Linked DNA regions of Callithrix jacchus. The protein of the gene in region 3 purifies or fractionates together with the protein of the main gene of each other region. This does not show direct contact. Links are inferred from orthologs where the notes say so. Each region holds a gene or a part of one and is shown on either strand. Other genes may lie near its edges.

Region 1 (3,657 bases), on a different chromosome or scaffold from region 3:
AAGTAGCACCACGGCATTTAAAGCTTCTAATCTGTGTCCTTCTGAGAGATACTGGTCTACTTGGGTTTGAACCCAATACCCTGACATCATGCAACTTCTAGCCTTCCCATATCTGTAACCAGCAAATTAAATTTCCTGTGTGGTTTCCATTTTGCTGACTGAACTCTGATATTTAAACACTTTTCTTGAACTTTGAATAAAATGGAATTTTCCTTAAGTTTTCAAATGTTGTATTTTTTTTTTTTTTTTTTTTTTTGAGACGGAGTTTCGCTCTTGTTACCCAGGCTGGAGTGCAATGGCGCTATCTTGGCTCACCGCAACCTCCACCTCCTGGGTTCAGGCAATTCTCCTGCCTCAGCCTCCCAAGTAGCTGGGATTACAGGCACGCGCCACCATGCCCAGCTAATTTTTTGTATCTGTAGTAGAGACGGGGTTTCACCATGTTGACCAGGATGGTCTCGATCTCTTGACCTCGTGATCCACCCATGTTGGCCTCCCAAAGTGCTGGGATTACAGGCTTGAGCCACCGCGCCCGGCCCCAAATGTTGTATTTTTTTACTACTAACATCAGAGGTCTAATTTAAACTCTTTTGCAATATATATACATATAACTAAAACTATGTAAAGTGTGTTTAAATTTTTTTTAAAAACTACAGTTATGATGGCAAAGCAACTTTACTGATCATGAATGATCCTGATCCTTAATATTTATGTTTTATGTTTTTACTTTTATATTACTCCTTAAGTGACTTGGAATAGAGATACATTCATACATACTGAATAACTTAATGTAATTAAAAAATAATTTATTGAGTCCCAGTATTACATCTGAAAAATCAGTATTATTTCATTCTTTGAAGTGCTCTGCATAAATTAAATAATCATAAACATTTCAAATAGCTGGTGTTTCGGGGAACACAGGATCTCTCCAAATTATTTCTTAAAACTGCATGTCAACTGACAAGTACCTTAAAAAGTTCATCTATGGAAACAGCAATTTTAAAGAAAACAACAAAAATGTTTAGGCACTATTAAAATATGACAGTAAATATGAACTAATTCTTGTATCAGTATTGTAAGATAAAATAAAGCACAATGTAGAAAATTTGTTCCAAAAATTTAAAGGCTTTTCAGTTTTTTTTTGTTTCGTTTTTTGTTTTTGAGACAGAGTATCACTCTGTCACCAGGCTGGAGTGCAGTGGCATGATCTCAGCTCACTGCAACCTCCTACTCCCTGGTTCAAGCTATTCTCCTGCCTCAGCCTCCCAAGTAGCTGGGATTATAGGCATGCACCACCATGCCTAGCTAATTTTTATATTTTTAGTAGAGATGGGGTTTCATAATGTTGGCCAGGAAGGTCTAGATCTCCTGACCTCATGATCCACCCACCTTGGCCTCCCAAAGTGCTGGGATTATAGGCATGAGCCACCACACTCAGCCTTTTAGTTTGTTTTTTAAAGATAATTATCCTAAGGCCAGGCACAGTGGCTCACACCTACAATCCCAACACTTTGGAAGGCCAAGGTAGTCAAGTCACTTGAGGTCAGTGAGTCCAATCTGGCCAAAATGGCAAACACTGTCTCTACTAAAAATAGAAAAATTAGCTGGGTGTGGTGGCAGGCACCTGTAATCCCAGTTACTCAGGGGGCTGAGGCAGAGAATTGCTTGAACCTGGGAGGTAGAGGCTGCAGTGTGCTGAGATCGCATCACTGTACTCCTACCTGGGCAACAGAGCAAGACTCCATCTCAAAACAACAATAACAAAAAAAGATAATTATTCTAGACTGTTTCGCCTAGTGAAAGTCCATACCATAGGGAAGAAAGCAGTCTATTAAATATTATACTTCTCTCCAACCCCCTTTTTTTTTCTTTTTGTCCCACAAGTCATGACAGCCAAAAAGCTTCTAATCATTGGGCTCACCTCAGAATTGTCCATGGCGGCTTTCAAAATGTTGGAGTGTGCATTGACAGCCTGTACTGCAGCATTCTGAGCTGCAATAGCCTGCAGAGTGACACTTGCAGTTTGCCTCAGAGCATCTTCTAAGCTCTTGGCTAGAGCTTAAAAAAAAAAAAAAGAACAATTAAAAAACAAATCCCTACCCCCACAAATGACTGGAAACTTGCTGTTCTCCTATTGAGATTTCCATTGTATTTCTCAAAAAATATGAAAAGGAACGACAAAATACATGAGACTCAAGTTTAGGGAATCAAAGTTTCACTTAAAAGTATGGTAAAATACTGACAATTTGGTCTGGATGATGAATCTATGAAGCTCTATTACACTATTTTTTCTTTTTTGTTTTTGAGACGGAGTTTCGTTCATTACCCAGGCTGGAGTGCAATGGCGTGATCTCGGCTCACCGCAACCTCCGCCTCCTGGGTTCAGGCAATTCTCCTGCCTCAGCCTCCCGAGTAGCTGGGATTACAGGCATGCGCCACCATGCCCAGCTAATTTTTTGTATTTTTAGTAGAGACGGGGTTTCACCATGTTGACCGGGATGGTCTCAATCTCTTGATCTCGTGATCCACCCGCCTCGGCCTCCCAAAGTGCTGGGATTACAGGCGTGAGCCACCGCACCCGGCCCACACAATTTTTTCTTGTATGTATATCTAAACTTTTTCAAAATAAAAAGTGTTTTTTTTTTTTTTTTTTCAAAATTATTTAAAGAAGGACAAAAGGACTCAAAAGAAGACACCAATGTTTGAGAGGCTACCACCTATTAAGATCATATTTCTATATGCTGTTTCAGGAATACCAAAAAGTAAAGCAAAGAACAATTTTAGATAATTTACTAAAATGCAAAAAAAAAAAAAAAGGTCATTCGAAGAAAGGTTAGTGAGAATACTAATTTAATAATAAACGATATGACAAAAATAAAAACTACATTTGACAAATGAGAAAAAAAGATAATTTTGAACGAAAGCAGCATAAACTAGCAAAAACAAACAATCAGATGAACTACAAACGGTACCTCTGCAAGAAAGATAAAAGAGGAAAGCTAGAAAGCTAATAAGGAGAAAATAAAAGTAAATTGACAGAAGTGAAAGAAATGAAACAACAGCAGCAGGAAAAAAGAGAGAAGGAGGCAAGGGAGGGAAACCATGGTATTTGGATCCCGCAACATACGTAAGGGAACAGTAGACATCACCTACAGGTAGTTATGAACCACTTTATGGAGTCCACAGAAAGTGGGCTGCTGGAAGGCACCTGCTGCTTCCAGCCCTCTTCAGAGTTCTAGTCACTGTATTCTGATCCTTGATAAATGTTACACATGCAAACATATGCATGTACATTTTTAAAGTCAAATTTGAGAGAAAGTTAAGAGGTGATAGATAAAATTCTGAAATTTTTCACTTGGTCCAAAATGAAAGATGAGAGGAACCAGGCAAAGAAAGTAACAGCTGAAATAGCAGACATCTCCAGCTTACAAATATAACTTAATTTCAAGGTGCCCATGTGATAAATGATAAAGAGAGACAAGTGAAAAGTGAAGAAAAAAAATATGACTAAAAGAAAAAAGAAACGTTTCACTTAGTTAGAAGTCATTTTTAAAATATTCTCAACTATTTGTAACACAGCCAAGAACTCAGAAGAATACAAAAAAAAAAAACAAATCAAAAAAATCTAAATCTGAGTAGTAAAACTAAAGCCATAGG
Region 2 (3,657 bases), on a different chromosome or scaffold from region 3:
ATAGAGTAGGGATGGGTTTGGAACACTGCACTCAAGGGGTTCTGTCTGCAGGCTGCCCAGTGTTGTAGGCATCCTGGTGCAGAGACCCCTTCAGGATAAGAGGTGGCTTGGATCATCTGGCTTTCCAAACAGCTTGAATCAAGGGTGTGTTTCTTGTCTGCCCTTGCGGACGCTCCTTTGTGGGGACGCATCTGTGGCGCTGCCTTCAAGGGACACGTTCACTCATGGGGGTCGTTCCTTTCTGGGTGACATCGTGTCTTCATGAACTCTGGGGTGCCACTGACAGGCCTTTTCTTCTCTTTCTTTTGCAGAATCCACAATGCCCAGGTCAGGGAGCAGTGGTGGCCAGCAGCCCTCAGGGACGAAGGAGGGTGTCAAGAGGTGAGCCCAAGAGCCCACTTGCTCCTGGCACTGTGCTCTGCCTAAAAGCCTCTTTCCTCACTGGGTACCCCTCTCCTTGCCTGAAGCCCTAGAGGGTTTGTCTCACATAATTAATCTCAGTTGCACTGAAGGACAACCCTATGGTATAGGTGTCACTAGTCCTAGTTTAAAGATGAAGAAACAACAAAAGGGCTATATGGGAGTTGATTGCTAATGTTCCTCATGCCCAGTAGTTTGAGAGGCCAGGGCAGGAAGATTGTTTAAGGCCAGGAGTTTGAGAACAGCCTGGACAACATAGCAAGACCCGGTCTCTAAAAGATAAAAAATTGGCTGGGTGTGGTGGTGTGTGCCTGTCTAGTCCCAGTTACTCGGGAGGCTGAGGTGGAAGGATCACTTGAGCCCAGGAAGTCGAGGCTTCAGGGATCTATGATTGCACCACTGAACTCCAGCCTGGGTGACCCTGTCTCTGGAAAAAAAAAAAAGAATCATTTAAAAAATCTAGGACTAAACAGTTGAGAGCCTGGACCTTCTGCATGTGTGTGTGCATGCAGGCGTGTTTTTAGAGAGATGAGGAAGTGGAGCCCTCCCAGTTCTAACTGTGGTTGTCCAGATGAACTGGTTCCAAGATGTTGGTGACTTTCTGTCAGGACAGGCCACAACTCCAAGAGCTGGCCATGCCCCTGAAATGGTACCTGCTTCCTGTCACCAGAGAAGTTTTAGCAAAGTGATTAAGTCACAGAGGCCCCAGTGGAGCACAGGGTGGCATCTTGATCCTGCAACTTACTAGTTAGATGAACTTGAAAAATCACTGCATCTAAGAAGGGCTAAGAAGAGTACTTCTTTAATTGGGATCTGTCATGGTTAAATATGTTAATGTATATCATGCACCTGGGCACAGTGCCTGGCCTACAGAGTTCTCATTGGATGCTCATAGTAGTTGTTACTGATTGACCTCTTCAGGATTCCTGAGGAAATTGGCCTCAGTATGGTCAGAGGACCCAGTAGGTCAGCTTAGGGGGCCCAGTGTCAGCTACAGTTGGGCGTTTGCCCTCTAGTAGTTCAGCCATGTTGGGTCTGTTGCATAGCCATGGGTGAAGACACACACTGTAAGAATTTACCCTCCCTAGGAAGTCTCAGCAAAAATAACTGACCTGGCTGGGTGTGGTAGCTCAATCCTATAATCCCAGTGAATTTAGGAGACTATGAAGGAGGATTTCTTGAACTCAGGAGTTTGAGCCCAGCCTGGGCAACGAAGTGAGACCCTGTCTTGACAAAAAAAAAAAAAAAATTAAAAACATTAACTGGGGGTAGTAACACAAGCCTGTAGTCCCGGATGCTCAGGAGGCTGAGGTAGGAGTATGGCTTGAGCCTGGGAGTTGGAGTTTACAATGAGTTATGATTGCATCACTGCACTCTGGCCTGGGCCACATTATGAGACCCAAAACCAAAAGAAAAGGAAAAGCTAACCACAACCTGAACCCTGCTTTTAAACATTTTAAACATGATAAAGTAATACATTCTAATGAAAGATTTAGAAAATATATAAAGTGAAAAAATCATCCCTAGACTCATCATCTCAACACAACTATTGTTAATATTTTGAAGTATTTCAAGTTCTTTTCCACCTTGCCCCCCACCAGCCCCCCCTGTTTAGGGTTATTTTTGAAAGTCATAGATAATTTCATATCTTGCTATTTTCACTTAGTATTATAATTTTTCATTAGTTTCATCTGCTTTATAAATTGTTTTATTGCTAAAAGCATCATTTATTGGTTCTCAGTTTTTAGATTCAATCTATAGACAAATCAAAGACTATATTTTCTAGTGGTGATGTCATAGCTCATTATATGATCACACCATATTTTCTGTAGCTTGACCTTGATTTGAGGACATTTAGGTTGGTTGCATTTTTTTCACTATAATAAATAATACTGTTAGAGCCTCTCAGCGCTAATAACTTTTTTCCTCTCTATAGGATTATTTTACTAGGCAGAATGCCCAGAAATATGTCAAAGGGTAGGAACAAGAGTTAAATGTTCCAAACAGAGGACTATTACTATCTCAAATCTTCGAGCTCTGGAGCGGAGGCAGTCCTTGGATTGAACCCCTCCCTGAGACCCTCACTGGGCATGGGGCTGCCTAACGTGGCCAGGGCTCCTGTTCCTGAGCTGTGTTGTCCTGGCTCAGTGTCATTGTCATTGTCTCCCCTTGTCTGGGGAGCTGTCATTGATGCCTGAGCTCAGGCGGGGAATGATGGGGTGTGCGGTTCCACAGCACTCTCTCCTTTCCTGTCTGGCTACTGGCTGGTCTCAGTGCTTCCCTGGCGGCTGAAGTGAGTGCGCAGACTTTGTCTTGACTATGGGACTGCCTGTCACGCCATCTGCATCTATTTCTCCTCATCTTTCTTCTGCACAGGTATGAACAGGAACATGCTGCTGTCCAGGATAAACTCTTCCAGGTGGCACAGAAGGAAAGAGAGGCTGCCACCAAGCACTCCAAGGTATCCCTGCCCACAGGTGAAAGCAGCATCAGTCATGAGGAGCAGAAGTCAGTCCGGTTGGTGAGTGCATATTTTCCTCGAACTGGCCTCCCAAGCTGGGCAGCACCCTGGGAAAGAGGGGGCAGGCCTTGGCACCTGGTTTGTCTGATGCCCTGCTGGCTCAGGCTGCCCCTAGGATATGCTCAGCTGTACCTCTGTGGAAAAGGGTCTTTTGGGAGCCAGGAACTTGGGTTCTTCTAGCCCTGGCTCTGTCAGTGATTTGCTTTGGTGCCAGTGTCATGTTTTTGCAATCTCCGTGGCCTAAGGTCTACACGGTAAGGGACTAGAACACTTGACAACCTCATTCAGCTCTGAAACTTCACAGGTGTCAGGGCTGCAGTGGTATGTGTGTCAGGAGGGTGTGAGGGGAGAGGACTGGAGGCCTGGAGCCATGTAATATATGAGAGGGAGGGTATAATCTTTAGAGTTAGGCAGGCTGGGCGCAAATCCTGGACACACTGTCTGTGAGCCTTGCTCAAAGATCATGATGTTCACCCACAGGAGTGCCCAGGGAATCGGAGGAGATAGTATTTGTCCAGGACTTAGCACATGCCAGCAGATCATGGAAGTGCACTATTGTTATTACTACTGTCACTAATACATTTAAGTGATGGGCGGCTATTAGGATCTTTTTGCTTAAGTGCAGCATTTATTTTGCAACATGAGAAGTCTAGAAGTGCCCCCAGGGTTGACTAATTCAGTGGTTCACTGGCATCATCAGGGACCTGGTGCTTCTC
Region 3 (2,856 bases):
TAAGCATTTAAATGTATGAATCCAGAGCTCAGGGGAGACATTAGGACTAGAGATAAATATTTAGGAGTCAGTGGCATCAAGATGGTATTTAAAACCGTGGATCTCTAGGAGATTATTTATCAGTAGGGATCAAGGCCACATAGTTCATAAGTGATAGTATTGGGATTGGGATTCAACTTTGGATTTTTACCAACCCCCAAATTTATTCTACCAAACCAGATTTCTACAGCATATTTTTACATTTATGTAGGCTAGCACATTTTCTCAAAAACTTTATCACAATGGGACTCAGAGTATTAATTAGCTCATAATTATGATGGCACTTTCTTGTTTTAGTAATATTGCATTAGTAATTATTTTAATATAATGTAGATTGGTGATGCCCTACTTGTAGATCATTAGTAGTGGGATAAATTTTATTTTGTTGTATATAGTATATAATTAAAGAGAAAAAAAAACCCTAGAAATTATTATGTTGAAGCCATCCTTATGATTTTGTCTCCTTCAGAAATCTAAGTCACTTTAAATGTGGTAAAATTGAAGTTATATTGTGTTGTTGATTTATAATTGGGTATCTTTTTTTGATCCTATCACCACAGTGAAATCTTTTGTGCTTTGACAGCTCTTTGTTTATACATCTATTAAAATACTTAATAATTTTTTTTTGAGATGGATTTTGTTCTTGTTGCCCAGGCTGGAGTGCAATGGCTTGATCTTAGCTTGCCACAGACTCTGCCTCCCAGGTTTAAGTCATCTCCTGCCTCAACCTCCTGAGTAGCTGGGATTACAGGCATGCACCACCATGCCTGGTTAATTTTTTATTTTTTAGAAGAGATGGGGTTTCTCCATGTTGGTCAGGCTGGTCTCCTGACTTCAGGTGATCCGCCTGCCTCAGCCTCCCAAAGTTCTGGGATTACAGGCATGAGCCGCCACACCTGGTCAATAAATTGTGTTTATTAAAACAACTTTATAATTTATGTTTCATGTCCATGAGAGTATTTTTCTTGTTTTTGTGTCTAGCATCTGGTATAGTTTCTGGCACGTTGGAGATCTGTTATGTTTATTTAGTGACTAAAGTAATGAACTAAATGAATATGATCATTACATCTATATTATTTTAACACAAATATTGTTACTAAAGAAAGCAAGTCACACAACTAGCAAATCATATATACATATTTTTTATATAACAGAAACTTTGTTTCTTGTGTGGCTTTTTTCTTTTAAATTGATGAATGAAACGATTTAAAAAAATATATCCACAGAGGTCTTTTAAATATCCACAAGACATTGTTTCTGGGACCCCCACAGATACTAAAATTTGCAGAGTTCAAGTCTGTTATATAAAATGGCATAACTGCTTATGTAAATTTAATGTTATGAGAAAAAATAAAATTGTGCAGTGTTTGCATATAATCTACCTATATCCTCCTGTATATTTTAAGTCATCAGTAGATACACACAATCTCTAAATGCTATGCGGTAGTGTGATCTTAAGCCATCCTCCCACCTCAGCCTCCCAAGTAGCAAGGACTATAGGCATGCACTACCATGCCTGGCTAATTTTTGTAAATATGAGGTTTCACCACATTGTTCAGGTTGATTGTGAACTCCTGAGCTTCAACAGTCTACCCATCTGAGCCTCCCAAAGTGCTGGGATTACAGGCATGAACCATCACATTTGTCCTGTATTGTTCTCTCTAATCTTTTAAAGTATTTTTGATCTGACGTTGGTTGAACCTGCAAGTATGGGACCTGTAGGTGAAGAGGGCCAACTGGATTTTTTAACGTAAGAGTTAATTGCTACTTACTCATGTTACTCTTATTTCTACTTTTAGGCCTACTGAACTTGATGCACTGGTATTTGGCCATCTGTACACCATTCTTACCACACAATTAACAAATGATGAACTTTCTGAAAAGGTGAAAAACTATAGTAACCTCCTTGCTTTCTGTAGGAGAATTGAACAGCACTATTTTGAAGATCGTGGTAAAGACAGACTGTCATAGAGTTATATGTTAGTCTCATTAAGTCTAATTTTTGACATATGTTTTACTTGAATGTTATATTAGATATTGGTATCAGAATTTTAAAACCAAATTACTGTTTTTTGAAACCTCAAAACAAATTATACAATTTATCTTATATATGTGCTTTATATTGTTACTTGTGTACACATTAAAATAATTCTGAATTATTTCATTTGATATATTGTATTCTATGTCTTGAAATTTTTGTTTCCTTGAAACATGCATGCATATAAAAATAAAGCTTAAACAACTGTATGGATGTTACATTTACTTTCTTTTGATTTTTCTGAAAGTCATTCACTGAATTTTACACCTGTAGAATAAACAGTGTCTTTTCTAAGGCAAGTAATTTGTGTTACATACTCCAAGATTCCCTTGCTAGATATATGGTGAAACTGATAATGGGGAAAAATGTTCTTAGCAAGTGTGCTCTTAGAAAATATGGATGGTTTTAAGGTAATTAAATCTTGGTGCAGATTTGACATTTAAGAACATTCTTTATACAGAGACGTAATTGAATTAAAAAACATTTCGTTAGAGCAGCTGTGACTTACATTTGATAAAGGAAACAGTTGAGGGACCATTTTGAGACAAGAACATTTTAATAATACTCTTTTATTCTTTTGTGGGAAAGGGAAGGTAATTTTCACAAAGGTATTGATAGGATTTTTTACGTAAACTCTAAGGATTATATGTTGTGTTCTTTTCCAATTTTCTTACGGTTTATATCGTATAAAACCAGGATGCTCTAAAGAGTCAGATGTAAAAAATTATTTCCTAAAAATATCTAGAATAATAGTACTTTTATATTTTCTTTTTATGTAC

The links.
Region 1: the proteins of MTX2 (region 3) and IMMT purify together in Homo sapiens (co-immunoprecipitation; 5 studies listed by BioGRID and IntAct, counting the BioPlex papers as one, with this or other methods). This does not show direct contact. The link is inferred for Callithrix jacchus from reciprocal best matches to the Homo sapiens genes MTX2 and IMMT.
Region 2: the proteins of MTX2 (region 3) and CHCHD6 purify together in Homo sapiens (co-immunoprecipitation; 3 studies listed by BioGRID and IntAct, counting the BioPlex papers as one, with this or other methods). This does not show direct contact. The link is inferred for Callithrix jacchus from reciprocal best matches to the Homo sapiens genes MTX2 and CHCHD6.

Annotation. Positions count from the first base shown.
Region 1 is NC_133515.1:26,833,070-26,836,726, reverse strand, and holds part of IMMT (MICOS complex subunit MIC60), read right to left. Parts: intron 2,059-3,657; coding exon 1,922-2,058; intron 1-1,921. UniProt on the Homo sapiens protein: Component of the MICOS complex, a large protein complex of the mitochondrial inner membrane that plays crucial roles in the maintenance of crista junctions, inner membrane architecture, and formation of contact sites to the outer membrane.
Region 2 is NC_133516.1:76,623,160-76,626,816, reverse strand, and holds part of CHCHD6 (MICOS complex subunit MIC25), read left to right. Parts: intron 1-311; coding exon 312-381; intron 382-2,796; coding exon 2,797-2,941; intron 2,942-3,657. UniProt on the Homo sapiens protein: Component of the MICOS complex, a large protein complex of the mitochondrial inner membrane that plays crucial roles in the maintenance of crista junctions, inner membrane architecture, and formation of contact sites to the outer membrane.
Region 3 is NC_133507.1:53,072,472-53,075,327, reverse strand, and holds the end of MTX2 (metaxin-2), read left to right. Parts: intron 1-1,838; coding exon 1,839-2,010; 3' UTR 2,011-2,286; downstream 2,287-2,856. UniProt on the Homo sapiens protein: Involved in transport of proteins into the mitochondrion.